Linked DNA regions of Saccharomyces cerevisiae S288C. The gene in region 2 interacts genetically with the main gene of each other region. Each region holds a gene or a part of one and is shown on either strand. Other genes may lie near its edges.

Region 1 (4,571 bases), on a different chromosome or scaffold from region 2:
TTCCATTTCATCTTCTTCCTCTTCATTGCTTTCATCTCCTCCACCGTTCTCTTGCTTGTTAACACTTGATTCATGAACGTGAAACCAGTTATCCAAAGTTGGAAAGTTGGAAACTCTGCCAATATTTAAGCGTCCTGAGCTCGATATTGAACAAACACCGTTGATTGCAACATCTGCGTTAACAAATTTGGAACAACTTAGCATGTTTTGATCCTTTAACTGCCGTATGGTCCACACATTTTTCCACGTGTAGCTTACCCATGTAGAAGAGGAATGGCAAACCACGCATGACATCCATTTAGCTCCACTACTATTTATTTCTTCTTCTTCTTTTTCATCATCATCGTCTTCTTCTTCTTCTTCTTCTTCCTCATTATTTAGTGATACAGATATCTCACGCAAATACGAAAGGGAAACAGGCTTCAAGCCAAGGAATCGCCTTTTTATGTCAGTGAACGATCCGTCAACATCCCCTATATGAAATTTCATGTAAACGCCATTTTCTAAACCTACATGCAAATTAAGCTGTCCTATTGAGGAATCTCTAACCATTATCATGTCAGAAATCTTTTCACTAACTAATTGCAAACTTATTACAGTTAAAAAATCTTCCTTTTGGTCTTTAAGAGACATTATTTTGATCATACCCTCATTGTCAGCAATGGCTAATAAATCAGCATGCTGCGTATCTTGCACAATCGCAACTTTAGAGGGCATTGTGTCCAATTCTGGGTGGGTGGTTAATTCGATTAACGAATCCGAAGATACATCTATCTTGAAATAAACCAATTCGTAATTTGATAATGATATAATTAGTTGTGTTTTCGAGGACGTGGCACATACAATACGAATTCCCGCTGGTGGCACCCAAGTCAGCTTATTAGAATACCTAGATTTACCAGTCGGTACGATATGTCTTAGTTCTGCGGTGCATACTTGGATAATAGAGTGTGAGCCCATTAGGCATGTATGAATTGTTGTGTCCTGAGAGAGCTTGAAAGCTGAACGCGTTGCTTCATCCGGTGTTAGTTCCTCCATGGACTCGTTGTCAATTTGTAGTATCATAGTTTTCTTGGGAAAAGTTATGAACAAAAGAGTATTGTTATCGCCGGTTGTTGCAGGATCGGGTATTAGCCATAACTTGGTTGCGTTCGGGGGTAAACTAGTAGATATCAAATTAGAGTAATTCACAGCATTTGTTAAAGTTATTATCTTGTTGTTTGTAAAATGTTTAGTGGCGATAGACAGTGGCGAATCACTGACAATTTGAGATTTTATTGAAGGGTTCAAATTCAATTGTTGCGATAATATGCTCAAATTCTGCAACTTTATGGATGGTTCGAAAACTAGCGACTTATTTGGATCTTTTGAGGTTAAAACATTAGAAAAATCATTTTTCTCTACACCAAGTTTCTCAAACTGGAAAAGAAAGTTGTTATTCATTTCAGATAGTGCAAAAAGATAACCGTTTTTGAAAATGTGTAATTGGTGTGAATTTTGGATTGTATCAAAGTAGGACAATTGAACTAAAGGTCTATTTCTATCATTAGTGTCTGGACTTACAGTTAACTTAAAAAGATCGCCATGGTTAGATTGTAAAAGTACGAAAAAATCATTTTTCAATTTCTGCACTATGCCTGATATGATTGTTACATTTTTATGACGGCTATTTGTGATAGATCTTTTGGGTATTTCCACTTTCAGGCTGAAAAATCCGTTCATATCCTTTACCAGAATATGATTTTCGAAGCCTATGACAACAAAAGGGTTGAAAAGGGTATCATAGTCAGCATCATAGTTGTTGTCGCTTAGCGAAGTTGTTATATTATATCGCGATAGATCTGGCAAACTCAGTACGAAATTGGCAGATGGGTTAACTAAATAATCTGCCTTCTTGACGATGTGATTCAAACCCAACTCGAGGACATAAAATATCAAGTGTACTGATAGTTGAGTAGCGGCATTGTCGATTTCTAAGGTAACAAAACATGGATTATTGAAATTTACATCAACAACTGCCATATCCAGCGTTACCATATGGGGTCTGATGATTTCCAATGGAGACGAAATCCTCAATTTTTGAGCATAATCAACGAGGAAACACAATTTATTTTGTTCGACAGATGAGAGAATGATACAACGCCCATTAGGGTCAATTTCCATGTATGATATGGGAGAGACTCTTCGAAGGGTGGTCCTCGTCAATGGCTGGTTCACTAAAGTCTTAAGTCTAAGAGCACCTGCATGCATAATGATTTGCACGATACTTAGGTTACCAGAATCGGAAGTTAGCGCTAGAAAAGTGGGCCAGTTGGAAGCTTTTGCCCTTGACCCTGAATGCGGCAGATCCAGCGACTTCATCGAGGTTATCGTCGCAAACAGGTTTTGAAACTTGGCAATAAGCTTTAGTTCCCCATCTGCAGTATCATAAAGTTCTAAATGCGTCTCAGTAGCTACGCACAATTGCGACTGCTCACGCTTGGACCCTGCTTCCAGATCGACGAAGTGTCCGATGCAGGAGTGCACGAAATTCGTCTGTTTCTTTAAAGTAAGATGGTACAAGTATAGCTCATCATCTTTAGCAACCATTGTTATGTTATGGTCACTCCTTGTTCTTCTTTCAGCCTCTCGTTTTAAACCGTCATAAGCCATCGTTGTGCTAGCTTGCCCAAATAGTTTACGCATCTTCGCCGTGTGGGGCGACAAGCTTACTACTGCCATTTTGCCACCTCCCCACATTTAATGATGGAAAATATTATAAAAAAGCGAGAAAAGAAGCTAATGGTGCCATTGTTTTCCTTTTTAGAGAGGGGCAGCAGAGATCGGTGGACTTTGTTTTGATAGAGGGCGATTGCAAGCATGGAGATTTACATTAGACTTAACGCAGATGTCGAGCACGACTATGCGTTTCAGGTGTCAAATGAAGACACCATAAATAACAAAATTAAGAAGATTTTCCCTTCCAAGACGGGTTTGGCGGACTTAATGGTGCTGAGACCATCAATTTTCCATGAGAAGGAGCCCGTAAAGTTCTATAAGTCTATCCATCCAGGGTACCTGTCCGAAGGTGGTTGTTTGATGTTCCATTATGAAGCTGATAACGAAGAAAATCTCGAGGAGTTGAATGACTCCAAGCCGCTTATTGACCAGTTGTGGCCTGGTCAGCTAGTTGTTCCGGAGTGGAAGCTATCCAAGAAAAACATATGGGTATACACCATTATTATGTTGGCCTGGCTATATACCGATTTGCCCGACGCCATTTCTCCAACCCCAGGTATTTGTTTGACTAATCAATTGTCTAGACTATTGATTCCTGTAGCCAAGCACATGGATTTACCTGAAATTGCCGCTAAACTCGAACAAGAAGTTCAGGCAAACTATTCTAGTCTCGTAGCTCAATGGCTTTTCTTTGTCATGCACATTTTCAAAGTGGGCATAATTACTTTATTCCTCAAATTAGGCATTGCCAACCCCATCAGCTTCAATCCTTACAAGTTATGGAGTTTGAGAGATTTAACTTCTCCTTCTGCTAACGGCGCTAAGAATTCTGGCGGCAATAACAACACTACTGACTTAAAGACACGTTTGCGCTCTCTGGGCTGGATTGGTGCTAAGAGAGCTACTTACGACGATTACCAGACTAACTATTACAACTATGTCATAGATAAGATGGGTGGTGCAGTTGCTGCTTATAGAGCGGGCGCGATTAGGAAAGCTGCAGCACCAGGTATCCAACTTGTGGCTGGAGAGGGTTTCCAAAGTCCTCTAGAAGATAGGTTCACTGCTTCCACTTTCACGGCTATTAAAACCGAACGGAAATTCATTTTAAGTGAAGAATACTTTGTGGAGCTGGAAAACAATCTAAAGAAGATCTTGGAAGAGTATGACGGGGATATTGGTAAGATGAATGCTGAAATTAGGAGGTTTAGAAGGTTTGGTATTTATGAACCAGATGAAAAACTGGCCTCGCTAGTTAAGCTCAGAAGAGAAATTGCTGATGAGAAAGAGAAAGCATCAAACAATGATGCTACTTTTGGTATAAAAAAGAATGATTTGAAAAAATCTAATTAATTGTAAAACCAAAACACTACCATCCAGACTTTTTTTTTATTCAACCATAGCCTTTAACTACTACTACTACTACTAGTACTACTACTATTACTATTACTATTACTACTACTAGAGGGCCTTTTTTTACTCCTAGTATTTTTGTACTATCCTATTTACTCTCGTTGTTTTTATTAGTTTTTTCACTCTTTTTTTCAATTCCTCACGAATCTACTGTTTTCGTAGTGCTTTTTTTTGTTTCATTGTTTATAGCCATCAATGGTTTTTGTTACTATCATTATCATTATAAATATTTCATACAATATATACAATATATATACAATAAATGAGAATCGATTTACTTTTAATGCATTTTTGCAGTCAAAAAAAGCTTCGTTTACATTTATATGTATTTATGTTTGTATTTCTGGGGGAAATATGCCTTTATGGGCGTATATACTCTTTCGTACGTTTCTACATCCGAGTAGCAGTAGTAACTCGGTATTGTGCTTTCGTCGCCATAA
Region 2 (5,175 bases):
GTGGCTTACTATATAAGCGTAACTCCAATGTGCTTGGTTAGTTTTGGAAAATTTCAAGGCGTTGTTGCAGAATTGTACCTTTAAACATGTCTACAACAACTATGTGGATGTAGCATCTCTATCATGACGCAAACGCAAACATCTCTCTCTCTCTCTCTCTCTAAGTCGCATGTTAAGGCCGATAGTACTGGTTTAACAGGGTTTGCCAAGGCCTCAATCGTTAAGTTAGCTTCTCCACTTTCCCCAGCATCAATCTTATGGTATGATCAACAATCTACGAGGAATTGCAGAAATGATACCTGTATCACAAAGGAATTTGCGTATCATAGCGTCAACTGGAACCATGGATGGAGCTGAGAATTTATTCCTCATAAACGAATTCAAGTTTCTTTCGCTCTGCCAACACAAAAATTTCAATTTCTGTCCTACTTATGTCCTATGAGAGCCATAATTTACACCTCACGTACATAGTTGCGGTAATATGATAAGTACACTTTTTCTGTGCTTCATTATCGTAGCGATAGGTATACCACTCATCGTAAGTGTGGACGTAGCGATGGAGGTTTCTGTGCCATTACCACCACAACCATTCTACTCTTGTAGTGATGCCGCCAACGTGGAATTATGTGGTATCGTTGTTATCTGCCGTTGACTACCCTCGGTCCAACCAACGTAAAGGCCAATCTCACTTTCTAAGAAGGTCTTATCAGGGTTGATACGGACAAACTCTTCATAGCCTACGTCGAAATCAAATTCTGCTGAAGCTGTGATTGTAATCAAACCTAAAATGGTAATTACTGCTCGAAAAAAAAGTAGAGAAATTCATGGTTGACGCTCAAGTTCAGGGATCTGAGAAAATCTTTTATTCGTACGTCCCATGTGCTCGGTCATACTATGGCTGCTATATATACAACATGGTTGTGGAGAATTTACGCAGGATGTGCCTACTACCTTGGGAGCTACTAATGTCGTATATTTCAAGTGTCTGCATGAAGACTGCATTATAGTCCCTTCAGAGTTTTCTTTGATCGTTTACAATGATCATGGTGAAAGGATTATTTCTGTTATAGCTGGCACACGACAGTCACCTATATGGTAGTTACTAACTAAATATTGCTCAAAGTCAATTCCCAACAATGGGAAGCATGCTGCGATTTTAACAAAGAAGCAGCAGTACCCAGATACGGAACTGGATTAGACAGAGGAGGAAAATCATAAGGTACACAAAATTTTTTGGGCTTTAATTTCTCAAAATGTTTGCCGGTAAACCTGTACATTCTTTTTTCACCATCAGTCTATCTTGTAATTAAGTCTTTCATGTAGTATTGAATCTGCAATATTTTTTAACCAACTATCAATTTTCGTGTCAACAAATTACTCTTTACCATGTAGACAGCTACTGATTCAGGCGCACATGAAGACCTATTCGCTTATTTAACAAATATTAGCGTATTTTTTGAGACTATTAACGTGTGTAGACCTCCAGAGGCTGCACTCTAAAAGCCCCCAGGGATATGTCTATACTGTCCTTTGAGAGTTATACGTATGAAAAATAGTAAGGAGACGTCTCTAAGCGTATTTAGAATATACGCTAAGAGTGACTAATGTAGGTAAGTGCGCAGTAATGGCTGGTAAACTTTTTTTTATACTAGTGCCATGTTGTACTGAACTTCAATTTTACAACTAAACTATGAAGCAAGTATCTTATCTTGGGGTTGTATATTTCAATTAAGTGGTTTCGTGGTCTAGTCGGTTATGGCATCTGCTTAACACGCAGAACGTCCCCAGTTCGATCCTGGGCGAAATCATTATTTTTTTGAATTTTTATATTAGTTTATTTACAGGGATAGATAATGAATGATAAAAAATGAATAGAACGTACTCTGCGCAAGCGCATATATATATATACTATTGTTGCTTCCAATTTATACAAGATCCCTTAATTGTTCCTCTAGCTTTTTATCTTGTTTCCAATTATAAAATGCAGTCGCTGCACCGCCAAATAAAACAAGGTTGAACACTATCCGCATTCCCGTGTACCCTACGTTCCATTCGTTGCCCTTGGATCTGCCACCACAGGGTCCATAAGATAAGAAATACGCTGCTTTGGTCTCCTCCAGCGGTATATGTCTCCAATCTTCTTGCATCCTCCATCGTAAGTATTCCTTGATTTCATCCCTAACTTCAGGTCGTAGAGTGGGCCATAACTTCGTTATATTCGTAATCTCTACTACCGGTGGCTGATAAGTGCTGAAAGATCTTTTCAGTGCTAGCCGAATACCGTTTCGTCCCATCATCTTCTGCCTTATTTCTACCTATGTTGAAATGATATCTTTTGGGTGGTCTTCTCTTTTCTTTGACGCGAAATTTGAAATTGCAAATACTTTTCGAAGAAGGATGCAAGTACACATAAAACGTATACTGTAAATAGGCAAAACATAAGCAGTGAGAGATATCCCTGCATATTCAAGGTTTACAATGACTTATGAACAATTATACGTACGTTGCCTGTAACGCTGGTTGATGCTATTCTTTTGATGTTTTTAACAACACACAGGACAATGAATAGTTCCCTTCCTGTTTTCTAATTCATAATTACTAACAAGTATAGCCAATTCGCCTTCTCGGCATTTGTGTAATCACTTAAGAAAGAGTTCCATTCCTCAAAGAGCTTCCAGCCATTTATCCACTTAGACACTCAACCAAAATTTGCAATTTGTGGTTTAATCGTTACATTAGCTGTATTATCATCTGCCCTGTTCGCCGTCGGTTCTAAATCTTCATACATTAAGAAACTCTTCTTCTACACAATTTTAAGTGTAATTGGCAGCTTGTTTGCTGGCTTGACCACTGTTTTTGCTTCGAATTCTTTCGGTGTCTACGTCTAGTGGCTCTTCGTTGGCCTATAAAGGAATTATCGATGAAATTATATACTATACTTAAGAAGTATTTTGGATGAGAATATTAAAAAGAAAGGTGTCAAGTAAATTTCATTATATAAACGGTTTAAGACATATTAATATGCGATTTTTGGGAAGATAATGACTGATATCACATGGCTTTGTTGTTTGAAGGTGCTTGTTTTATGCTCATAAATTCAACACATCTTCGTCGAAGTTAATAGCTTTGTAATATCTTGGATCTGAAGAGTTGGTTGAACCGAACGCGTTATACTCAAGTAATGTAGAAAGCATAGCTCTAGTGTTTGATATTACATTCTCTAATGCGCATTCGCTATCCTTATGTAAAAATGTTAGTATTGTGTTGTTACTAACTTGAAATAATCTCTCTTGTAAGTATTCGTCACTCAAATATCCTGATATCTCCTTTGGTGCCTCCACAAGTGGATTGGAATATGCTAACAATGCAGAGACATTACTCAATTGTCCACTAAACCTATCCCTCAAAGATTGTGGAATTTTAGTATCGTAGATAAATTCATTAGATAATTCTTGACCCTTCAAAATTAAATTTTCAATTTCGTCATCATCTTTGGATGAACTCTTTTTAATCATCACCAGATAATTCGCTAGTTTTAACTCAAATACCAATTCTAGATTATTTTTTAACAGATCTGGAATTTCGTTATCGATATAATTGATGCATTTGCTAATTTGACCTTTGTTTATCAAGTATCTTAATTCTTGCCTTATCTTTACCATACGTTCTTCTTTCATGATCTGTCTTTCATTGTGCCTGATAACATCTTTACTTTCAGAATGTTGCCCATTGACATTAACCGCATCTTTTTGCAAATCTTTCAAAAACCCCTTTGCAACATCCACCAATCCTTCGTGGATCAAATAATCATTTATCATCACGTTTAATGTATTAGGCAATGAACCGTCATCCACGCTTAAGTTGTTAATATTGTTCACGTCTGGTCTAACTAGCTTTCCATCTATAAACCTATTATCTTCTCCCAAAAGAAACTTCAGATTGTTGTCCTTCTCATCGTTAAGCTTCTTTGTATCCTTATTACCAGCGGCACCATCCTCTTGATCAATATCCATCAAATCTTCATTAACGTTTGTTGATTTATTTTCTTCAGGCCCATTTTCAGTTTCATCTTCCTCACTTTCATCAGAGTCGAATTCTTCAATTGAAACGTCCATTTGGCGTCCACGACAAATATGCTCATACGCCAAACTCTTCCATTTATCTTGATATCCAATAATGTCAAATACAAAATCCTCATTTAACCCAAAATTTGTTTTGATAGAATTCCCAGGTCGTAAGGCCACATATGGGACGAATTCTAGATCATTCAAGTCGGTGAATGCGTTACCTAAATGGATACCATTCTTCGTGAAAAAAATTGAGCCATCGATAAAATTTATGCCACAACCAATAACGTCATCCCTACCAAAAGGCTTAGCATATTCCTTAGATTGTTCTGTAGAATTAGTTATCAAACCGTCAAATCCGCAATAGCCAAATACATTAAGATCAAATCCGTATTTCTGACACTTATTTATGGAACCATCCACGTTAAGAGACATGGCTGAAACGCCCCCTTCATAAATATAATCACGCCTTTGAGTACCTTCCATAGTGAAAGAAGTAGAAGGTACTCTATTGGAACTCATGTTATTACTACCACCTAAGCTACTACTAGAACCGGCCACGCTTGAACGAGAAACACTCTTTTTTGTAGTCGCTTCCATTAATTCATTCTCTACTAACTTGTATCCGATAACAATGTTACTATTTTCAGCACTCTCTGTACTCGTTACACTGAGAACTTTAATCTCGTAATAGAATATAGTTAACTTATTGTCTGGCAATGACTTATTTGCCCAAGTGACTGCAAAGTCCACTTTCCCAGAGTTCTCAAAAGAGGTTCTCAGTCTATTTCTGGTAGAGGCAGAAGAAGCGCTTGATCTTTCATAAGTCATGTATGAGTGATAATCAGGATTAGGTTGTAAATGAGTAATACCATCTTGAGATAGCTGCAAGCTGTTATTTGGTTGAGCTTGCCATCTAGAAGGTAAAAAGTACCCAAGTATTTTGTAAATATCAGGGATCATTGAGTTTTTCTTTTTGCTACCACTGTTGGACAAAACATTTGTTGCCTCATTGTCATTTTTGTCGTTACCAGACGATACTCTAGGAGAAGAAAAGGAAGAACTTGGAGACTGATCAGGGGGGTAGTATTGTAGACCACTGTTCTTG

The links.
Region 1: mutations in MTC3 (region 2) and GSF2 together harm fitness more than expected from each alone (negative genetic interaction), as found in Saccharomyces cerevisiae (one large-scale study listed by BioGRID).

Annotation. Positions count from the first base shown.
Region 1 is NC_001145.3:175,567-180,137, forward strand, and holds GSF2 (Gsf2p), read left to right. Parts: upstream 1-2,859; coding exon 2,860-4,071; downstream 4,072-4,571. Other genes in the region: U2 snRNP complex subunit RSE1, read right to left, coding at 1-2,739; pheromone-regulated K(+) transporter PRM6, read right to left, coding at 4,451-4,571. UniProt on the Saccharomyces cerevisiae protein: May be involved in the secretion of hexose transporters from the endoplasmic reticulum. Involved in secretion of GAL2 and HXT1.
Region 2 is NC_001139.9:70,462-75,636, reverse strand, and holds MTC3 (Mtc3p), read right to left. Parts: upstream 2,298-5,175; coding exon 1,926-2,297; downstream 1-1,925. Other genes in the region: OST5 (dolichyl-diphosphooligosaccharide--protein glycotransferase subunit), read left to right, coding at 2,479-2,499, 2,649-2,888; glucose-induced degradation complex subunit VID30, read right to left, coding at 3,090-5,175. UniProt on the Saccharomyces cerevisiae protein: May be involved in telomere capping.